Callithrix jacchus: one gene and its partners. The protein of the gene in region 2 purifies or fractionates together with the protein of the main gene of each other region. This does not show direct contact. Links are inferred from orthologs where the notes say so. Each region holds a gene or a part of one and is shown on either strand. Other genes may lie near its edges.

Region 1 (6,070 bases), on a different chromosome or scaffold from region 2:
CATACACGAAATCATTTTTTTTTTTTTTTTTTTGATACAGGGTCTCATTCTGCTGCCCAGGCTGGAGTTCAGTGGCATGATCTTGGCTTACTGCAGCCTCGACTTCCCAAGCCAAAGTGATCCTTCCACCTCTGCCTCCCAAGTAGCTGGGACTACAAGTGTGCACCATGATGCCTTTTTTAAAATGTTTATTTTTAGAGACGGGGGTCTCACTATGTTGACCAGGCTAGTCTCAAACTCCTGGGCTCAAGTGATTCTCCCATATCAGCCTCCCAAAGTGCTGGGATTATAGGCATGAGCCACCATGCCCAGCCTGTATGGAATATTTTTTTAATGCTGTTTTCAACTGAAGTACTAGTAAGGTCTCAAAGCAAAAAGGACCAAATAAACAAAAGCTATAATCCTAATTTTAACAAGTTTTAATTTCTACAATTACAGCCACAGAGTTTTAAATTCTATTCTTAAAGGATTAGTATTTTGTTCTATGATTCGAATTTAATGAAAACTTCACAGTTTCTAATTATATAAAAAGATCTAATCTCATCATGGAGAACTATGAGTTTTGTCAAAATTTGTTTCTTATTTCAAATATCTATTTGAGAAATAATTTTCAAATAAATACATACTACGAATCAGTAATCAACCTGAAATATTTTTGACATGGAGACTTCTTCATGCCATTAAAAATGAATATGACCTGTATTAAGTGCAATTGTCCAAACCAATCAAGACATACAGAAAAATGCTCAGTGTCTGTTCTTCCTATAAAACAACGCAATAATTTATCTTATTTATTATTTCCCAAAAACATATTGGGAGAAAGTTAACACAGACATATTTAGAGCCAAGGATAGCACATATGTTTTATCCTGTCTACTAAGCCTGAGGGTCTGACTATAGATGCCAAGAATGTGATGCTTAAAAGGATGACCAGGCTCAGCATGAACACATACCATGATCAACTAATCATGCCTGCCACGGGCACAGAAAACACATACATCTGTTGTCATCACTAGTATGAATGTTATCAGTTGAAACACATTTGCTGAAGTTTGCTGCTGTAGTGAGTGAGTGCCCACTCAGCAAGTCACTGGGCACATGGCACCACCCAGCTGTGCCTATCCCTGCTGTGCAGAGGCACTGGCAGCTCAGGCAGGGTACTAGAACACAACTTCACAAAGCAACAAAGGTCCACACTCTCATATTCCTTAAACCAATACAACAGGTCTGAGTTTTGTCCACAAAATATAAAAATGTGCCATTTACTTGGATGGGGTTTAGAAAAATAATGGTTACAAAACAGAACTATTTCATTCTTTCTAGGACCACAAGAATAGGATGAAAACTGGTAATTATACTACTAAGAATTTCAAAGTCTTAATTTAGGCCTAGTCAACATTAGCCACATTAAAGGAAAAAAGATTTTTTTATCAACATGAAAGTTGATGAAGTATGCATATATTAGAAAAACATTAAAAATTTAAAGCTAGTTAGAAAATGCTTATGATATATAAGCAGTTTGAATAAACAACTCAGGTAAAAAGAAACTAGGTCTCTTTATTATACAAAACAAAGTTTTCTAGAGCAAACAAGTGTCAAATTGTATGATATTACTGGAATTATAATTCCATGATTGTGATTTCTAATGAAGAAGCCTGGCTAATGCTCCAGGTGCTATTACTACGATTTTACCAAACCTGAGTAAATTTGATGGAAAATAGTAAAACTGTAAGGACACAGGATTTAAAGAATCAGCAGACTTGAGTTCAGAGTACCATATAACCCCGAACTCCCTTAAACTCATAGAGGTTCATTTCTTCATTCTTCAAGAATATCTGTTGGTTTGCTGTAAACAATTAAACTACACTCACCTGTTTAAAACTATCTTAAGAATTTGAAAGTACTGTCCCACCAGGTGGCTATCATCAGAGAAGCCACATTTTCCTATGAGTTTATTGGATTACTAGACTTGGATTACTAGAAATGAGACAGAGCTGGCAGGGCAGTCCTGCAGACACACTACACATCAAGAATGTGGCCCTTTTTATTGGACAGGACTGCCAATAACAAAAGACCCTGTGGAAAACATGCTGCTAATTACATGGAAACCTGGTCAGTTTTAAATTCTGGGAGATACACTCTCCTTCATTTTGATTCCATAAACTTGAATGCAGGAAAAAGCAAGAAGACAGAACAAACTGGCACAGCTCTTAAAACTCAGGTGAGGCCAGGTGCAGTGGCTCATGCCTGTAATCCCAGCATTTTGGGAGGCGAAGGCAGGAGGATTGCTTCAGCCCATCAGTTCGAGACCAGCCTGGGCAACAAAGGGAGACTCCATCTTTCCAAAAAATTAAAAAATTATCTAGGCATGGTGGCCTGTGGTCCCAAGTACATGGGAGGCTGAGACAGAAAGATTGCTGGAGTCCAGGAGGTTGAGAGGCTCCAGTGAGCTGTCTATGTTTACATCACTGCAATCCAGCCTAGGCAACAGAGTAAGACCTTATCCACCCCCCCAAAAAAAGAAAGAAAGAAGAGGACTCACATGGAAGCAACGTCATGCCCAAGAAAAAACAAATCTGGATACTAATCATAGGCCCACGTATTTTAAAAATTCAACTCACATAATTAGCAATGATATAAATAATATACGGATATAGTTATGTTTAGGTGTCACGAGTGATATACTGGTATGAGGCCGAATGGGAATATGATGTCTATTCCTCCCTTTTCAGAAACACAGGAAGCTGTTTATAGCCACTGAAAAAGGCTAAATAATGACAGTTCACACAACCGACACTTAAATATTCACTGCCAGTTACATTGCTATCTGAGGAAAAAGAGGAAATTTAGTTTTCTCACTTTTTAAATATTAGATGCCTGACAGCTTTTGTTCTGTTAAATTCTTACCATATGCCAGGAGATGTTCTGTTTTGAATGTTCTGTTTTAAATGTATCAATTTATTTAAGTTTCCTATTAATCTTATAAGGTAGATATGATTATTGTTTCTTTTCAGAGGAGGAATTCAGCACAGAGCAGTTATAAAACTTGCCCAAGATCACACACCTCATTAGAGGAAAAGCCAAGACTTCGATCCGGCATTGTGGAACCAGAACTTTAATAAATACTCCACTGCCTAATAAGATAAAGAAAAAGAATATACATTGCACCTAATTGCTTCAAAAAACATTTACCACAGGCCTACTATATGTGCCATGCATATGTTGTTATATATTACATATATATCATAGATATGATATGCATAAAGTAACAAAGCTTTAAAGACACTAGATTCAAACTGAAGTTCATGGGTCAGTTTCTTAGTCCCTTTATGCTGATATAGTAAAATACCGTAAACTAGGTGGCTTATAAACAACACAGATTTTCTTCTCACAGTTCTGGAAGCTGGAAAGTCCAAGGTCAAGCCACTGTCAGACTCAGTGTCTAGTGAGGGCCTGCTTTCTGGTGGACAGATGGTGATGGTGCCTTCTAGCTGTGTCCTCCCATGGAGGAAGGGCAAGACAGCTCCCTGGGGCCTCTTTTATGAAGGCACTAACCCCATTTATGATGGCCCTACTTTCATGACTCCTCATGACCTAATCACCTCCCAAAGGTCACAACTCTTAACACTATCACATTGGTGATTAGGTTTCAATATGAATGGTGGGTGGGGGGAGATACAGGAACATTCCAACGACAGCACTCAGTCTCAATTAATTAATAATGTCAAGTATAATATTTACTTGACTTGGGTGTTTGTAGGACTGGAGGCAGAGAGGAAGCAAGGCCTAGAAGAGTAATCCACCCCTATTAAAAATAATATTGCTCATCAGGAAGAGGAAAGTTCTTTTGGGAAACATCTGGCTAATCTTTTTGGAAAACAGGTTCTGAAGAAATTCTTAAAGAGGACTGATTATGCAATTCTGGCTACAGTCAGTACCTACTATTTTCAATGGGGATTTCTTTCCATGGACACATGACTGACTCAGTTCTTAGGCATAACTGGGGCTAACACAAACCAAAATAGCCAGAGGCCTCATCCCAAAGAAACTGCAATATAAAGTTAGGTCTTGAGAATTATTTTCCAGATGCTGTAGATGTTCCTGAAAGGGTTCCTTTGGTTTCTAAGGTACAAAGATGGACAATAGGAGACTGCTCTTAGATCTGCCCTGGGCAGAACCCTGGAATTAATGAGGAGAGTGATATCTATCACTTTTGGATTCCAAGGAAGGAAAGACAAAATAGTATGAGGGCTCTTATGACACTTAAAAATGACAAGGGTACTTAGGTGGAGAGGAGCTGTTTTTTTCTGGTCTTGGTGACCAGGACTGACCCTCATTTATCTCCTTTCTATCCCCCAGTTCCCCCGGCCTACATCTTAGGTATCCAGAAGTCTCTCATATTGTCCCTTATTTGTGCAAAGGCCCAGAATCAATCATTCCCTGCCCTCTCCTATCACCAACAATAGAACTGTTCAGCCCAGAAGCATTCCTTTTCTATTCGCCACATCCTCCTCCTATTCCTTAAAGTGCCTAAAGTCAACTAAATATATAGAGTGAGGCTGGGCACTCATGCCTGTGATCCCAGCACTTTGGAAGGCCAAGGTAGGTGGATCACGAGGTCAGGAGTTCAAGACCAGTCTGGCCAACATGGTGAAACCCTGTCTCTACTAAAAACACAAAAATTAGTCAGGCGTGGTGGCGCATGCCTGTCATCTCAGCTACTCAGGAGGCTGAGGCAGGAGAATCACTTGAACCCAGGAGGCGGAGGTTGCAGTGAGCAGAGATGGAGCCACTGCACTCCAGCCTGGGAGGCAAAGCAAGACTCTGTCTCGAAAAAGACGGGGGGGTGGGGAAGGAAATATCAGATTAAAGTAAAGCACATTTAGTTAATCTACAGTTGGTAATATGAGAAGAGATAATTAGGGAAAGAACTTTCCTACTGTTCCTCTTAAACCACAGTGCCCTTCCCAGGGCTAGGGTGATCAGGTAGGTTAGGCAGCTGGGGCACAAATGTATGGGAGTGCCACTCTCATGTGCTGGCGCTGTGCCTGGACCCTGAATGATGCCTCCTTCTACTTCGTGCCCTCCTGCATGACTCACTTGCTTTCTTCTACAGGCTTTGTGCCACCTTGGTAAAGATGGTCTCAGGGGACAAGAAGGATAAACTTCAGCTGCTCTCAAGCCATTGCTTACAAAGAAAAACTCATTGGTTCTATCTTCCCTTCTAATTTATCTCTAATTTCTAATTTAATTTCTGACTTAAAACCCAAACTCTTCACTGGTGTCTGACCAACTCTCTCATAGAAAGAGGTCCAAATTTTGGACAGTAAGGAAGTCTTCTAGCCCCAAGGCCTCAGAATGGATTGGGCATCTGTTAGTCATTCCCGGGCCATGGCACACAGGGGCCTGGGCACCAGTACTACTGCAGGCACAGAACCCTGTGGGAATCAGGAATCCACCTACTTGCCCTCACTCCAGGACCAACACTCTCTCCATCAGTTTTTCTTTTGGATCAAAGAATAAATAACTGGCTATTTTACCCATCTTAAACAAAACAGCCCTCTTCTGATCCCTTTCCTCCCACTGATTATCTTCTCTTTTGCAGCAGAACTCCTTCAAGAACTGTCGATACTCACTTTCATTTTCTCACCTTCCATTCTCTATCAAGTTCATTCCTGCCAGGCTTCTGTCCCCACCATCCACCCAAACTACTGTTACTGAGATCACCAATCACCTCGCTAAATACAAGGGTCAGTTTGTCACTCCTTTCTCCTGATCTACTTTCTTCACTCTCTTCCAGGACACAGCACTTTCTTGGTTTTCTCCTGCTTCACGAGGGTGCCTTCTCAGTCTCCTCTGCTCTAGGAATTTTTAATGTTTGAGTATCCCCGGTCTCAATTATTAGTCCTCTCCTCTTCTCTATTTCTATCCATTCCCTTGGTGATCTCGTAGTCTCATAACTTGGAAGTACCATGTGCTTGACAAATCTCTATTTACATTTTTCTAGGTCAGACTCCTTTCTCACATCCAGATGCCTACTCAACATTGTCACTGCAACATCCACTAGCAT
Region 2 (5,729 bases):
GACTGACTCATGACCTATGAGATCTATGAGATGGATATGGATATAAGCTCTACTTCTCTACTTTTCAGCTGATAAAACAGGCTGAAGAAAGTGAGTGCTGTGTCTAAGTCGCTAGCAAATGGTCGAATATGGATCTGAACCTAGGTCTGTATGATGTCCGATGTACTCCGGTTACTACTAAAAATGACTTTTGATTATAATTATTTTCAGAAAGCCCCACTCTAAAATTATTATACTCAAACTAGTGTACTCTCTGAACTAGTAGAGCATATAAACTAGTAAACATTCTCTGCCAGGGGTGGTGACTCACGCCTGTAATCCCAGCACTTTGGGAGGCTGACCACTTGAGGTCAGGAGTTAGAGACCAGCCTGGCCAACATGGTGAAATCCCGTCTCTACTAAAAATACGAAAATTAACTAGGTGTGGTGGCAGGCACCTGTAATCTCAGCTACTTGGGAGGTGAGGCAGGAGAACCACTTGAACCCAGAAGGTGGAGGTTGCAGTAAGCCACGATCATGCCACTGCTCTCCAGCCTTGGCAATAGAGTGAGACTTGGTTTCAATAAGAAAAAAAATAAAATAAATAAAACAAAACAAAATAAACTAGTATACACTCTAAACTAGTAGTATGCTCCCCCATACATGAAAACAGAAACACCACCTATAATTATGAGTAATTGTTGTTGTGAATCCAAGTATCTATGTAAAAAGCAAAAACCCCACAGCCACAGTTGTTGTCATCGTTGTCGCAAATTTAATTACTGGGTAGAAATGTCGAGTGCCGCAGCCAAACAGCAGTAGGAGGAGCCTTTCCCATGGCGGAGGGGAAGGAGGGAAACCTAGACTCTATTTCTGGGTCTGCCTCGAGCTTTCTCTGCCGCCTTGGGCAAGTGACTTCAGTTCTTGGTCAATGTCCTGGATTAAGATGGGGCTAACGCCACTGCACTGATTTGCTAGGACAGGTGGTGGAATGTGGGGGGTCGGGGCTGGGAGAGGAGAGGAAGGGCAATATTTCCTAGGAGAAACTGCACTGTAGCTGGGGCAGCTGTGGTGCTGCCAAGCGCAGCGAGTGTGGCAAGCGGACGAACCTCTTGTCTTGTTACCTTGTTTTAAAATTGGAGGTGGAGTGGGATGGATGGTCGATATGCAGCTCTCCCAGCTCTAAGTGCCCAAGTTCTGGGAGCTTGATTGCTTTCACGTCCCTTGGAAACAACTGGCAAAAATGAATTTCACACAGTCTGGTACCAGCTTACCATCTCCGGCACTCTTTGCTGACATTTGCCATTCTTTAAACACAATGACATACGTTTATTAAGGAATCACAGTCCATAACTAAGACAAAGTGAGCTTGAGTTACGTTCCCTAACTCGGTCCACGTTCCTTTAAAACGTCTCAAGTCGCATGTCACTCATCGCGGAGTCGCAGCCTTCCCCGGGGTTCAGGCGTCCGCATTAAGCGCAGGCACAGCGTGGGGATCCCCGCGTGCGGTTTTCCCGCGGCGTCGGAATAGACTGCTTTCGGATTCGCGTTGGGATTGCTTATGCTGCATAATTTCAAAGAAATAAATGTATCAGAATTGCGATGCTTAAGGTCTAATCTATTTAAGCGGGTGGGTCAGCAGCGGGTCAACGGGAAACTTCAAGGTAAATAGTGGCCTCGGCAAAAGGCCGGGTCGCTCACAGCTTCCCCACCGCCTCCCCAGAGCAGACGATTAATTTTTGTGTTTCAGGCAAACCCGCCGCTGCCCGGCCCTGCAGCCTAGCTGGGGAGCGACGGCGGCAGAAACCTGGCGGAGCGAGCGGCGGGCTCGGGTCCCGGCTGGCCGAGGGGCTCGGGCTGGAGTCTGCGGGGCGGTGGAGGGTACTCGCCGCGCTGGGCACAAACTGCTTTCACCCGCAGCGTCTGCACCCGAACCCTCTAGTCCGAGGAAGGGGATTAAAAGTGACAAAGGAAGGAGAAGGGGGGCTCCGTGGAGACACGTCTGGAGGCGTGGAAGGGGCGTCTAGGAGGAGGGGTGAGCACAGCCCCGCAGGGTGCTGGGCGGACGGGTGAAGGGGGCTGGGGGCTCCCGGGCCGGAGCTGGTGGGGGCCCACGGCAACTTGCGCGGGCTGGCTGTGGGGCGAGGGGTCCCGCGCCCCCGGAGGGAGGCGGGAGGCCTGCGGCGGGGGCGCGGGCGGCCGTCGTGCGCTCCGCCCAGAGCGGGGAGCCGGTCGCGCCTCCCCCTGCCGCATGTGCGCGGTGTTGTGTGCCCGGCCCTGCTCCTCCCCCTCCCCTCTCCTCCCCTCTCCTCCCCTTCCCTCGCTCCGTCCCCTCCCCCAGCGGCCCCGAGCGAGCGCCAGCGCCACACAGCCCCGGGCCGCCGCCGCTGAGCGCGCCGAGACGCCGAACAGGTGGCCGGAGGCTGCGGGCGCCGCGGCGGGGAGAGGCGAGGCGAGCCCCGGGCGAAGCGAGGCGAGGCGAGGGCGGCCGGGTCGGGCCCGGCATGCGAGCCGAGCGGTCCCCCGGCGTCACCGCCGCCTGCCCGCTCCCCTAGCCGCCTGCGCGCCCGAGTACCCCGCGGCTCCCCCGCTCCTAGCGTCCCCGACCCGGCAGCTCCGCCTGCGCTCGGCGAGGGGCGCGGGCCTGCCCGCGGCGGCGGCGGCGGCATGAAAGTGACCGTGTGCTTCGGACGGACCCGGGTGGTCGTGCCGTGCGGGGACGGCCACATGAAAGTTTTTAGCCTCATCCAGCAGGCGGTGACCCGCTACCGGAAGGCCATCGCCAAGGTGAGGGGCCGAGGGCACGGGCGGGGAGGGGGGCGGCGGCGGGGACGGCGCCGGGATCAATATGGCGCTTCCTGGAAGGGGGAGGAGAGGCACAGGGAGGCGGGGAAAGGGAAAGTGCGGCCGGGCCGGCCTCGCGGGCGCCCCCCGCCCGGGGCTGCGGGCGCCAAAGTTCTCCGCGCGGGCTGGGGCGCAGCCTCGGGAGCACCGCGCCGCGGCCCCCGCCGCCCCCCGGGAGCTCCGGTCTCGGGAGCGCGGGGCGAGCCGGGCGGCGGCGCACAGGCCAGCCCCGGGCGCCTCCCCGGAGTCTGCAGACCCAGCCAAGCCCCGAAAAGGCGCGCGGGGGGCGGGGGCCGGGAAATCCAGCCCCAGGCCTCTCCCGGCTCCCAGGCCCCGCGGGCACCGACCGGGGACTGGGAACTTCTGGTGTGAGGAGAGTTTCGGGACTGCTCTCCCAACAGAGGCGGGCTGCGAGCTTTCCATCTCCTCTCCCTTTCTCGGGCGGGGGCGGGACCACCGCGGGGGGCTTTTACCTCTGCGTCCCGGGCGGGCCGGGACGGCCGGCCTCGTCCGGGGGCTGCAGGGTTGGGGGAGTCTCTCGCTTGGGGTCCGGGAGGCGTTCCCGGGAGGGCCGCTGCTGGCACTGGCTTGAGAGCATTTACTGTGCTGATCCCCCTTGCTGGGCTCGGTAAAGCACAGCCTCGGCACAGTCGCGGAATGAAAAGTTTTCCTGCGAGGACCTCAGCTCCTACCCATCCCGGGCTGCTTCCATGCGGAGGGCTGTGGAGCCGGGCCTGACTCGGGAGTCGAGTGGATTTCCCTTTTTCCTGCTGGAGTGATAACATTGTCTCCACTTCACTGCATTCCTCTACTATGTGTCAGAAGTGAAAAGACATTTTGTTACATTGTTTTACCGACTGGGTCTGTATTTGACAACAGCCCACGCTGAAGTTTCTCTCAAGCACCCGAGGATATTTCCTTTGTCGTAGAGTCCTGTTTGGTGGGGAGCACATTCTCTTGGGTGCACTGTTTCCTATTTGTTCCCGACAGTGGCCTGGCGCCTGTGGGCTTGGGGGCTGCAGATGACATTGGAAAGTGTCTTGGCCAGCCCTATTGAGCGTACACCGGGTGCTCTGGGTGTCATCTTCAGTGATCTCAGAAATTAAGAAGAAAACGCTTTTTAGACTGCTGTTTTGCTTTCAATATATATTGGAAAAAATAGCATAAATGTGGCCTTTCAAACATAATTTGGGGGAACGTTTAGGAACCTGACTTAAGGCTGGAAGACATTGGCTTTAATAGTTCTGCTATGTTCCTTACAGTTGGTTGAACTCTTTTATTGAAAATCAAATAAAATTAGTGGGAATTGGACACCTGTTTATCTTGCAAAGCTGAGAGGGAAAGAAAACCATCTAAATGGACATTGAGCATTTTTAATGATTGTTTATGTGTGACAGTTTATGCTTTAAATGTTCCAAAAGAATACTCAAATTGTTCAGGTGCTCTGGAACCCAACAAAATAAATCGTGCAAGGAAAGAAATAAAATAATACACACTCTGTACTATGTCTTGGTTCCTGAAAAGGTAGGATGATTGAAGTTTCCTTTCCCTTTACTAATTTTATGTGATTAAAATTGTTTTACCTACTATGTCTCACGTTTCATCATGTACAAAATAGACATAGGCTGAACTGGCTGTTTGACAGTAGTTCAAATGTGGTTGTTTGAGGCATTAACTCGTTCCACAGAAATTCTTAAGCTTTGACTATGTCCAAGGCACTGTTCTGGGTGCTGGACATCTAGGGGACCCACTGGCTGTGAGAGTCTGAGCACGAGGCTGCGAGGTCCTCCAGGTGAAGGGGCTGGTGGTGGGAGAAGAGGTGGCCTCTGGGATGCTGGCGGACTAGATCAGGGCCTACCTGGCCCTTGTTATTAATGATTAGCAGTGGTGGTTTCACAAGGACCTAGGGCATAGAAAAGGGAGTGCAGATTTCTTAAGGGTATCTGGGCAGGTGTCACAAGGAGAAAAGCGGGGCCTATGAGCTGAAGGAAGGGAGGGTGTTAGTGATATGGGAGTTGAGAGGGAGGGTGAGAGGTAGTTCAGGGGTTCCAACACTTACATGCTCTTTAAGTACAACTTAGAGTTCTGTAGGTGAATTTGAACGGGGGCTTTGCAGTAGACCAAGTTCAGTCATTAGATCAGGACTGTTGACCCTCAGATGTTGCTAGAACTCAGGGGTCTTCTGGGCCCCTTTCTCCTTTTTCTTCTGAAATTGCTAGATAATGATTAAGATTAATTTTTAGTCTTTCCCATTCTATATTATGTGTGAGAAAGTGTTAATATGTATTTAACATTTTTTTTTTTTTTGAGACAGAGTTTTGCTCTTGTTACCCAGGCTGGAGTGCAATGGCGCAATCTCGGCTCACCGCAACCTCTGCCTCCTGGGTTCAGGCAATTCTCCTGCCTCAGCCTCCCGAGTAGCCGGGATTACAGGCATGCGCCACCACGCCCAGCTAATTTTTTTGTATTTTTGGTAGAGACGGGGTTTCACCATGTTGACCGGGATGGTATCGATGTCTTGACCTCCATCCACCCGCCTCGGCCTCCCAAAGTGCTGGGATTACAGGCTTGAGCCACCGCGCCCGGCCCTATGTATTTAACATTGTTTTAACTTTTATTCTCTTACCTGTTCCTTACGTACTCCTGTTGCTTAACAGAACAAGACAAATTCTGTGTGGAGAACTGGGTGGCTGGAGAGCTGTGGAGCAGTGTTTGGGTTGCTAGGTGACATGTGGTGTGATGAACTCCCATCTGGTGGGGAAACGTGGGCAGATCATGTTTATGGCTTTGTATAATAACCAACCAAGCCAAAATAAAAAATGAAAAGAGACAGGTCCCAACTCCCAAATCACCAAGGCTTTCTCTGCAGTAAACATTTTCTGGTGTGGTGGGGCTAATTTTCTGGC
Region 3 (5,279 bases), on a different chromosome or scaffold from region 2:
ATGATGAGGTAAGCACCACATGTTTCATTGCTTCTAAACTGTTAAACTGCTTAAGAATAAGCAGTTTATTCTTATTTATTGATTGAGGTTTAAAATAAAACCCCAATCTTTGTGCTTTATTATTTGATTCTACTTTTCTAAATATGTGCTAAGTACATTAAATATATTATTTCAGTTTACTTTTCTTATAGATTATATAAGATATTTAAAGTAATTTGATTATTATTAGACTTTTAAAAAAAAAAAACAAAAATCGGGCCGGGCGTGGTGCTCAAGTCTGTAATCCCAGCACTTTGGGAGGCCAAGGCGGGTGGATCACGAGGTCAAGAGCTCGAGACCATCCTTGTCAACATAGTGAAACCCCGTCTCTACTAAAAATACAAAAAATTAGCTGGGCAAGGTGGCGTGTGCCTGTAATCCCAGCTATTCAGGAGGCTGAGGCAGGAGAATTGCCTGAACCCAGGAGGCGGAGGTTACGGTGAGCCGAGATGGCACCCATTGCACTCCAGCCTGGGTGACAAGAGCGAAACTCCGTCTCAAAAAAAAAAAACAAAAACAAAAACAAAAATCAAACCACATTATTGTCAGAGGAAATACTTGAGCTTGTAAAAATCTTCTAGACGGTTTTATGATATTGAAAGGTTTACTAGTGTTAATTTTCTCTTTGTAAATTTTTGTTCCATGATCATCAATGGTTTTTATATTTAGCCTAGTTAACAGTTGCATTTGTGACAGTTGAATTGCTCAGAACAAATTTATCATTAATTGCGATGATTTCAGTTTGACATAGATTCCTTTCATGTTTCAAAATAGGATATTGATTGGGTACAGACAGAAAAGCATGTGTTTGAGCAGGCATCCAATCATCCGTTTCTTGTTGGACTCCATTCTTGCTTTCAGACAGAAAGCAGGTAAGATTGAAAGATAATAGAATGATTACTGGGCTTCATATTTTGGGCATATTACACAGAACCTTTCTGCTGTAATTCATGAAGTAGACATCATGGAGGATGCAACAGTGTTCGGCTTATAACTTCCTGCTACTATTACTCCAGTCACTGATGGCAGTTTGATATTGGATCAGCATTAGGCAGAACAAGAAATAGCCATGTCATAATTATGGCAGTGGAAATCCAACCTTTAAATATCCCCGGTATTCTAGTTTTATAGTTTTATGACTTAAAATTTTCTAGAGTTTAACGAAAAGGAAAAATGCTAACTTCTTAACCTTGACAGTCAAAAACAACTTATTTAGCAAAGGCTAAAATTAGGATGGTAATGAGTGGCTTTGGATTGCAAGTGGTATTACTTTAGAATAGAAGTAGGAGATTACAAAATTATGATCATGCTGGTTTACTTTCTCATATCTTCTGTACCTTAGCTCTCTTTGTTTCCACCAAAATCTTGGCATCTTTTTAAAGGCTAAATAGTAGAGAATGCTCTCTGTCGTGACTGGTTTGTGAAAATGCAGTTACACTGCCTTTCTTTGGATCTTGATTTCATGAGTTCTCTCCTGTGTTTTAGATTGTTCTTTGTTATAGAGTATGTAAATGGAGGAGACCTAATGTTTCATATGCAGCGACAAAGAAAACTTCCTGAAGAACATGCCAGGTAAGTTTTGTTTACCCTGTGTGTGTGTGTGTGTGTGTGTGTGTGTTTCAGGGCCATGTGGCTTCTTATGTGCAGTGGTTGGAAACAGTAGTTAAATTTATTTTGAGCCAGGCGCGGTGGCTCAAGCCTGTAATCCCAGCACTTTGGGAGGCCGAGGTGGGTGGATCACGAGGTCAAGAGATCGAGACCATCCAGGTCAACATGATGAAACCCCGTCTCTACTAAAAATACAAAAAATTAGCTGGGCATAATGGCGCGTGCCTGTAATCCCAGCTACTCGGGAGGCTGAGGCAGGAGAATTGCCTGAACCCAGGGGGCAGAGGTTGTGGTGAGCCGAGATGGCGCCATTGCACTCCAGCCTGGGTAACAAGAGCGAAAACTCCGTCTCACAAATAAATAAATAAATAAATTAATTAATTAATTAATTTTGATACAAGTTAATTCTTTGTAAGTCATTCATAGGCTGACCTAAAAGTTAATTTACATTATATATGTAAAACAATTATACTATATATTATTTTACATTTATACACACATGTCACGTACACATGCATGCACACAGTGCTTCCTAAGCCATTGAAAAATATAAACAATATTAAAAGGGAAACCTTTACTAAAACCAATCCTTTTCAAATATTTTGTGTGTTTAGCATCAGCCATTTAAATAATTGAGACTAATAAACATGTATTAGTCTTTTCAGGTTTGTAGTGGTCTCTGAGAGAGCTTTTCATTATGAGAGTGCTATTCATACATACTTGAGAGTAGTACAGACCATCCGTCTGACTGGGCATAGTGGTTCATGCCTATAATCCCAGCACTTTGGGAGGCTGAGGTGGGTGGATCACCTGAGGTCAGGAGTTTGAGACCATCTTGACTGACACGGTGAAACCCCGTCTCTACTAAAAATACAAAAATTAGCTGGGCGTGGTGGCGAGTACCTGTAATCCCAGCTACTCAGGAAGCTGAGGCAAGATAATTACTTAAATCTGGAAGGCAGAGGTTGCAGTGAGCCAAGATCGCGCCACTGCACTCCAGCCTGCCTAACAGAGCAAGGCTCTGTCTCAAAAAAAAAAAGAAAAAAGATCCCTTTTAAACTAGTATATACTTCTGACTGTTCTTCCTGTGGTTTATTGTTCTTTGGCTTTTTTTCCCTTTAATCCCATAATTATTGATAAGTAAGAGAAAAGAGTATTGAATATGAATTTTGTGCTCCTAATTTGATATTAATATATAAGATTGTAAATTATGTGTTGGAGGAGATTGGTGGGAAGGGATCAGGGTCTTGAATAAACAATTTAATCCATCAGTACCAGGTTTTGTTTTTATTCATAATCAGCAGTAATTCTCACCCTTTCCTGCTTCACAAGAGTAATACCAAAATGAAACATATGAGTTTGTATATGTTTGTAATTATCAAACAGAGAACAAATATTAGAAATTTCATTTAAATAAAAAACTTGTGGAAATTTTGCTACTTCATTATTGCTTGTGAAAAAGTGATAATATTTAATTTCATAAGAAGATATAAATTGTACTTATCTTGAGGCCAGACTGGGTTTTTTGTTTATTTGGATTTTGTTATCGTTTTGGTGTTCCTGTATGTTCATTGTGTATTCGGCTTTATCAAATGATCCACCCTTCATAGCAGAGCCACAGATGATATTTTGAATTGTGAACATAGCCAGTATTTGTTCCTTGTCTGTTCAGCTGAATGTGGGGAAGCTAGTCTGGTTTTTACTGTGTTAATGTGCCGGTTCTGGCTTTATACCACCATCTTTGCTTCTGTAAGAACTAAAGCCCAGAATTAGGGCTTAAGTTCCTGAATCACAGAATTAAGTAGCTAGAAGGTGTATGTTATATACCTCCACATGTAATTGCGATAACGTGCCACCAAAGCAGCCATACAACACCTCAGGTGTTCCATTTTCATTATTCAGGCCAAAAGTTCTGGGTTGTCACCAGTGAGTTGGTAGCAATTTTTTAAAGTTCTTTGTTTGATATTAAATTTTATAGTCGTAGAACAGTTCCATTTAATTCCTTTCCTAAAAGCTTTATGAGGATTTTATGGTGTTGAGTAGTTACCTTGTAGTAGTCTTCCTATTCTTTTTTTTTTTTTTTTTTTTTGAGACAGAGTCTTGCTCTGTTGCCAGGTACAAGGCTGGAGTGCAGTGGCGTGATCTCGGCTCACTGCAACCTCAGCCTCCTGGGTTCAAGCAATTCTCCTGCCTCAGCCTCCCAAGTAGCTGGGACTACAGGCGCACACCACCATGCCCAGCTAATTTTTGTATTTTTAGTAGAGACGGGGTTTCACCATGTTGGCCAGGATGGTCTCGATGTCTTGACCTCGTGATCCACCCACCTCGGCCTCCCAAAGTGCTGGGATTACAGGCGTGAGCCACAGCGCCCGGCCTTTCTATTCTTGACACTGTCAGTGGTTCTTAGCCTACTGGGGGGTCATGGGTCCCTTAGAGGAGGGATGAAAGCTGTGAGGACTCTGTAGATGTTGTGCATGTACATATGTGCACACACCTTTACCCCCAGTTGTAGAAGTATGAACTGCCTGAAGTTTACCCAAGGACCCAGATTAAGAACCCCTGTTTGAGACTTTCAAATTAATAGCCTTATGAAAAATGTGAGTTTAAGTTAAACTTGTATAATTGTGTCGTGGGCTCAGATGTTTTAAAGTGGTACTTCAGTTCATTTTTTAAATTTGTTTCTAAAAATCACTGGGAGGAAAAAATATGTTTTGATATGAATTTTTATGTTTCCAGTTGCAAGTTTAGAACTTAAATATGATTGAATCAAATGATTTATTTTTTATTTTATTTTAGATTTTACTCTGCAGAAATCAGTCTAGCATTAAATTATCTTCATGAGCGAGGGATAATTTATAGAGATTTGAAATTGGACAATGTGTTACTGGACTCCGAAGGGCACATTAAACTCACTGACTATGGCATGTGTAAGGTGAGGAACACTTTCTAGTTATTTAAAAAGGTCTTCGGCAGCTAGTAGTCTTTGTAAAACAGCTTCATGTTTAAAGATGGGAAAATGATTACTAATTTTGCTAATTTATTTATGGAGCTTTGTGGAATTCTAGCACAAAGACAAATGTACTATTTTTCTAACCATTTGCAAAGTTTACATCTTCTGTGTTACGTGTACTACAATAAGAGTTAATTTCTTTTTATTAAACATAACTTTTTATCTTGAAAGTTGTAATACAATTGAAGAAAATTTGGAAATAAAAGCTGTCTGCAATTCCACCACTTAGCACAACCATCTGCATATGGCCTTCCAATTTTTGCCATTTAGTAGTGAATCTTATATAATGCATTCAGGATTTTCCTCAGAAGTCAAACATTTTTTATATTTAAATTTTAAACACCTGACAGTATAATATGTAAAAAATTTTATAATAAATAAAAATATAAAGAATTTTAGTTACTCTCAGAATATGTCTTCTTTTTTTCTTGATGTTTTATTCTTTTTATAATAGTGTTCCATTTTAAAGGTCTGGTATTTTCCCACAAAATGTGTAAGGAACTACTCCTTTTTAAAGTAACTGGTACAAAATTATCCTCACATAGTAATACAACCACCAGTATGTAAATGTGTGAATTGCATTCCCTGTTCACCTGTGGGAAGTGCCTCCAGAGCCTGGAGA
Region 4 (5,874 bases), on a different chromosome or scaffold from region 2:
TGCCAACGCTGGCATGGGGGAGAAAAAAAACCAGAGAAATTGTTATGCTTCTTGCAACAATAGGATTAAGATAACTTTTTACTATATGAACAAAAAACCTAACAGATAAAATTAAGATTCAATCAGCAATTAGTCACTATGTGAACCATTTACAACTGTTTTACAGCCTAATCTAGTTTGTCCTAGCCATCCAGAATAGGTATGGACTCCCTTCCCCCAGTGTCTGTTGGTACATTCTAGAAATACAAACTTAATTTTCATAGTCTATTTGCTTATGAATAATAATTAGGAAATTTTATGACTCAAAGACTGTTCCAGGGTTATTAAAGGACATCACCATGATTATTGATTAAGAATCTTTCCAACACTAGAGATACAGTTAGGAAGATAAATCAGTTTCCAAAGAAAAGTGACATACTAGCTGGTATCACAAATTTAACTATACTTATATTTACGTTCTCCATTATTTTATTATCATTATTTTTCCCTGCCACTTGCAAAGATAAGAAAGTTGACACTACTGCTTTAATTCATTTTTCAAACTTTTTATTTTTTTGAGACGGAGTCTCCCTCTGTCACTCAGGCTGGAGTGCAGTGACACAATCTCGGCTCACCACAACCTCCACCTCCCAGGCTCACATGATTCTCCTGCCTCAGCCTCCCAAGTAGCTGGGATGACAGGCATGCAGCACCAAGCACAACTAATTTTTGTGTTTTTAGTAGAGATAGGATTTTATCATGTTGGCCAGGCTGGTCTTGAACTCCTGACCTCAGGTGATTCGCCCACCTTGGCCTCCCAAAGTGCTGGGATTACAGGAGTGAGCCACCACACACGGCTGACACTACTGCTTTATATGAAGAAAAAGAGATATTAAAAATGGACGAGAACCCGGTGTGGTGGCTACCTCCTGTAATCCCAGCACTTTGGAAGGCCTAGGTGGGCAGATCACTTGAGCTAAGGAGTTAGAAACCAGCATGAGCAACATGGCAAAACTGTTTCTAAAAAGATTTTAAAAAATAAAAATAAATAAAAGAAAAGAAAAATAGACCAGGTAGGGTGCAGTGGCTCATGCCTGTAGTCCCAGTACTTCAGGAGGCAGAGATGGGGGCATCACTTGAGCTCAGGAGTTCAAGATCAGCCTGGGCAACTTGGCAAGACCCCCGTCTCTATTAAAAAAAAAAATTACCTGGGTGTAGTGGCGCATGCGTATAATCCCACTACTCAGGAGGCTGAAGTGGGAGAATCACTTGAGCCCGAGAGGTTAAGGCTGCAGTGAGCCATGATCGTGCCATTGTACTCCAGCCCCAGTGACAGAGCAAGATCCTGACACGAAAAATAAAAGAATTAATAAAAGGACCTGCACACTACCTATTTCGTTACAAACTCTTAGGGATTAGTGTTGTAAAAAAGCTGTGCTATCACTAAAGCAATGTCAAAGGAAATACTGTTTTAAAAACCCCTCCAAATATTTTTTAAATGATTAGATGACAAATATTTCAATCCGCTGAAAATAAATGTATCAGAAATATATATTTGAAAGATAGAAGGTGTCACAGACACATTAGGAATACTCCCCTACCTATACCTTGCCTATTTGTCAACAGCTAGAATAGTGCATTCAGTGCATTCATTCAGTGCATGTTTCTAGAATCAGTGTATGAGTCTACTTAAGAGACATGGTTCACTAAAAGTGCAGTATGGCAGTTCAAATATACAACATGTAGTTTAGACAGAAGTATGTGAAAGATTCAAAAATCAGTTGACAAGAGAAAGGCAAAAAGCCTGAAATTCCAGTTTTAAAGCACTCAAGGTTTCTTAGTACTAGAGATAAACTACTATTTGATTGTATTTATCAGCATGCTGATAAATACTGATAAAACAGAATTCCAACTCATTTTTTATGAGAAAAAAATTAAAGATTTGCTACCCAAATTAGGGCTATAAACTTATTTTTAAGATTATGCAATATCACAAGTGTTTTTCTTTCCATAACCTCAACGCCCACAAATCCAAACGAGACTTATAACAGAAATGCTGTAAGAAGGTTCAACCACTGGGCACGGAACCACTACTGCCACTATACCGCTAGAGGAAAAGCTCTGCTACATATTTTGGGTCATCTTCACGCTATATAGCTCAAGCAAGTCACTTCAATTTGCTATGCCGTGCACATGGCACACAGACACACGAACATTCCTTAAATTGCTATAACTACACTTCTTACTGATTCTGAAACTAGTGCCAATCCTCATTTCAGTGCCAAATCACATTTTTAAATGATGTTACAAACAAATGTAGATTTTCTCGATGTGATTCTCAGTTACAGAAACTTACAGAACTTTGCTTATCAACCGTAGACAATAAAACCATTCTACCCAGAGGCTCTAGAAAGCTTTCCTTACTCCACTCAACTCACTCCTTGATTCTGCATACTCCTTAGTAGGCTTACAATCTATGACGCTCCATTACTTCTTTTTTTTTTTTTGAAATTGATACGCTTTCAATTTTTTCGTTTTCTGTGTTTTGGCCTTTTCAATTCTATTTTAAATGTTCCGAGGGCCCAGCCAGTGCCCTGTTTTGTATTCTGCAGTGCCTAAAAGTTACTGTTAAAAAGGCATGAAGGCATTGCAAAAAAAGAGCTTGGGAAGTCATAACCTTTCTGAACCTCAGTCTTCTCAGAGAATTGGACTAGACTATCTAAGCTCCTTTTAACTCTTCAACTCAAGAAACTTCGTCGAAAATGTTCCCGTAGCTGCCGATCACCTTCAAACTCCATCTCAAAACCCCCTTTGGAAGGCATTCCCTAACTAATCCCTACAGACTCCCCTGCTCACCGAGCCTTGCGATTTAGGAATTCAGTGAATACCGAAATAATTATCAGCAGATTGGCATACCGCTGGTCAAGGGGAAAAACACTTGATGTAAGTAAGTAGCAGGATGGAATGAAAAGAGCATCCAAACTCAAACTGTAAAGTGCTACTCCAGCGTAAGGTGATAGCGCTAATTTTACAGATTAAATGCATACCAAAGTTAGTTCTAGAAAGAGCGCTAGCAGGAAGCAAAGGGAACTTTTCAAGGGCTATTTAGTTCACTGGGCTCTCTCCTTCGCCACTCGATGCGCCCCTGAACCCCAGAAAGGGGGAACGAGGTGGTCCAGGGCCCTTTATTCACAGCCCAGCAGGCAGGATTCCCCTACATCTTTTGAGCCGCCTCGCATTCCACTAAATGTGTGCCATCCTCGGGCATACCTTGGCCCCTACTCCCAGCCGTGAACACGGGAATGAGATTTACGGGACGAGATTAAACGCTGGATTAGATCTTCTTCCTGCCGGGGCCATGGGCGGACGGACACTAGCGCCCACCGACCCCCGCCGCACCCTCCTCGGCAAGTTTATTACCCACCATCCCCCGCCCGCACGTCCAGACCCCGGGGCAGCTCGGACCGTCGCCTCCCCCGGCGCTCCGAGACCTGCCCAGCCTCTCCCAGGCCCTGGCCCCCCAGGCCCGCCGCTCCGCCCAGCCCGTGCCCCGCGCACCTTGCTCTTCACCTCCATGGTGCCCAGGCAGCCGCTGCCCGCCGCGTGCCGGTGGCTGCGATTCATGCTGAACGCCGGGCCAGCGGCGGCCTCCTCCGGCCGGGCGGCCCCTCTGGAGAGCAGGGAGCGAGTGCGCGGCCGGCGGGCTCGGAAGGCGGCTGCGGCCCGGGAGCCTCCTCACAGGCACCTGCAAAGAAGGCGGCCGCACCTCTGGCGTCTGCGCCGAGCTGCACTCGGTCGGCTGCTCACACGGCGGGACCGAGGGTCGGACTGGCTGTGCGGCGGGCGGAGACGCAGCTCCCTCCCTCCGGGCCCCGGCGGCGGCGGCGACGACAGCGCTGGAGGAGGAGGAGGAGGAGGGGGCGGAGCGGAGGCCACAGGCGCCGCAACCTCTCCCTCAGCCACCTCCTCCGCGAGCCCGCGCGCGCGCACCCGAGCCGGGCCACAGCCGCGGCGCGTGCGCGTGCTCACCTGCCGCCCCCGAAGCTGCTGCAACCGCTCGCGCTCCGCCCACACCCAATAGGAAACGCGCACCTGCGCCCGCGGCGCCAACCAATCGATACACGCCTCGCGCGATGCGTGGGCGGGCCGCCTCCTCAAAAAACCCCGCCTTTCGCTGCGCGATTGGTCCTGCGCTTCGAGGGAGGGGCGGGATCACCTGAAGCCGTGGACCTACGCCCCTCATCAAGCCGGAGAGCCAGAGGGCGCATGCGCGGGTTCTGGAGTTTCCGCCCGAGGAAAGCACGCGGGGCGGTCGGCCGGAAGCGCGAGCGCACCTGAAGAAGGGCTCGGCTGGGTGGGTCTTTTGCGCACGCGCAAGCGCGCGCCTCGTTGTCCGGCGCGCGAGTCACACGCTTGGCTCTGGGGATGGGGCGCCTAGCGCTGCCGGTGGCCGAGGCTCCACGGGGCTGTTTGGTGTCCGCCGGTCCCCCTCCCCGCTTCCACTTTGGGAAGCGGCATCCCCTCCACCGCCCTTTAGCGTCGCTTAGGTGTCCCGCTGCAAGTCTTGTTTGCAAAATTTAAGTTTTCTAGCTTCTGTAGCAGTTGCTGGAGGAGAAGCTTAGGGCTCTCTTGGCTTGACTTTGTCCGAAGAGACTCTGCACGCCCTAAGTTCGTCAGGTCGAGAGGGAAGGAAAGTGGGCTTGAGGCGCGGGAAGGCTCCTTGCGGGCCCAGCCTCCCAGAGGATTTCTAGTCCGGTCTTCCAGTGCTTTTTTTTTTTTTTTTTTTCTTTAAACCTCTGAAGTCCTCTTCCCTCCTCCCGCCATTCCTTAGCCATTCGCTGTTTCTAGTAATGACAGCCAATGGGTTGTGTTCGTTTCCCGGAGTGACCAAGCTGTGTCCCAGAGCAACAAAACTCTGAATTCTCCTCTCTGAATGTCCCAGTCCCTGAGCCCGGCCTCTCTTCACACAGACCCTGTTGGCCATGGGGAGGAGAGGAGAAGACTGAAGATTTGGGCTGGAGGAGATTCCCAAGTCCCAAGGGCTCCCTGTGGGTTCTGGGAATCCAAGAGCTGTTGAAACCTGCAAACCAGAAAGGGGGTGGGGGAGTGGAGGTGGAGGAGGAGGGTCCAGCTTTAGATCTGGCAAGAAGAGTGGTTTGAGTGCCTTCCTCCCCTTACCTCCCTGCCCACCTCGGATGCCTCCTAACACTTGTACCGGTTTCCCAGCACGGGTGACAAGTTCCAGGTTTCCATTTTTGTGTGCATCTGAGTTTTGTGAGTAATCCGCCTCCAGCATAGAATGAAAGCTCCCGAAGGCAGGGAGCACTTGGGCTTTGCTGTCATTGAGTAGTACAGAGCCTGACTCCCAGTGGGTACTGTGCTGCAGCTGAGGGTGTCCTTTCTGCAGGCTCACTTTGCCCCACCTGTGTTCAAAGGTGAGAAGCTCATTTTTTTTTCCCCCTGGAGGATTCAGGTCACCAGACGTTTGTGGGGGAATTTAAGGTTTTTCTGGTCTTCTGAGGTGGCAGCACAGGTGGAAAGGACACCAATCCAAGCTGAATAATAAATAAGCAAGCTGCCTCCACCCGCTGTACGAAAGCACATACGAGGTGACTCAAGCTCAGCCGGAAATAAAGTGCCTATCAGAGCAGCTGCAGGGCCTGTAACTCCCGTTTGGACTAGCACAGCAGTTCCCAACTTTATTGTTCTCAAGACCCGTTTACACTATTAAAAATCATGGAGGACCCCAAAGTACTTTATGTGTTATATCTTTCAGTATTTATCTTAGAATTAAAACGGATGTGTCTAAAACATGGGAATACACCAGCATGCATTCCAACAGTCATCAGACTGATGATGTCATCACGTCTTGTCCCTTCTGGAAAACTCCATTGT

The links.
Region 1: the proteins of PARD3 (region 2) and RASSF8 purify together in Homo sapiens (affinity purification with mass spectrometry; 4 studies listed by BioGRID and IntAct, counting the BioPlex papers as one, with this or other methods). This does not show direct contact. The link is inferred for Callithrix jacchus from reciprocal best matches to the Homo sapiens genes PARD3 and RASSF8.
Region 3: the proteins of PARD3 (region 2) and PRKCI purify together in Homo sapiens (affinity purification with western blotting; 5 studies listed by BioGRID and IntAct, with this or other methods). This does not show direct contact. The link is inferred for Callithrix jacchus from reciprocal best matches to the Homo sapiens genes PARD3 and PRKCI.
Region 4: the proteins of PARD3 (region 2) and PARD6B purify together in Homo sapiens (affinity purification with mass spectrometry; 5 studies listed by BioGRID and IntAct, counting the BioPlex papers as one, with this or other methods). This does not show direct contact. The link is inferred for Callithrix jacchus from reciprocal best matches to the Homo sapiens genes PARD3 and PARD6B.

Annotation. Positions count from the first base shown.
Region 1 is NC_133510.1:45,277,622-45,283,691, forward strand, and holds the start of RASSF8 (ras association domain-containing protein 8), read right to left. Parts: upstream 3,517-6,070; 5' UTR 3,350-3,516; intron 1-3,349.
Region 2 is NC_133508.1:34,437,586-34,443,314, reverse strand, and holds the start of PARD3 (partitioning defective 3 homolog), read left to right. Parts: upstream 1-2,318; 5' UTR 2,319-2,646; coding exon 2,647-2,766; intron 2,767-3,296; exon of another isoform or gene 3,297-3,575; intron 3,576-5,729. UniProt on the Homo sapiens protein: Adapter protein involved in asymmetrical cell division and cell polarization processes. Seems to play a central role in the formation of epithelial tight junctions. Targets the phosphatase PTEN to cell junctions.
Region 3 is NC_133518.1:16,769,699-16,774,977, reverse strand, and holds part of PRKCI (protein kinase C iota type), read left to right. Parts: coding exon 1-8; intron 9-813; coding exon 814-911; intron 912-1,524; coding exon 1,525-1,611; intron 1,612-4,443; coding exon 4,444-4,579; intron 4,580-5,279.
Region 4 is NC_133506.1:46,270,716-46,276,589, reverse strand, and holds the start of PARD6B (partitioning defective 6 homolog beta), read right to left. Parts: upstream 3,810-5,874; 5' UTR 3,604-3,809; coding exon 3,538-3,603; intron 1-3,537. UniProt on the Homo sapiens protein: Adapter protein involved in asymmetrical cell division and cell polarization processes. Probably involved in formation of epithelial tight junctions.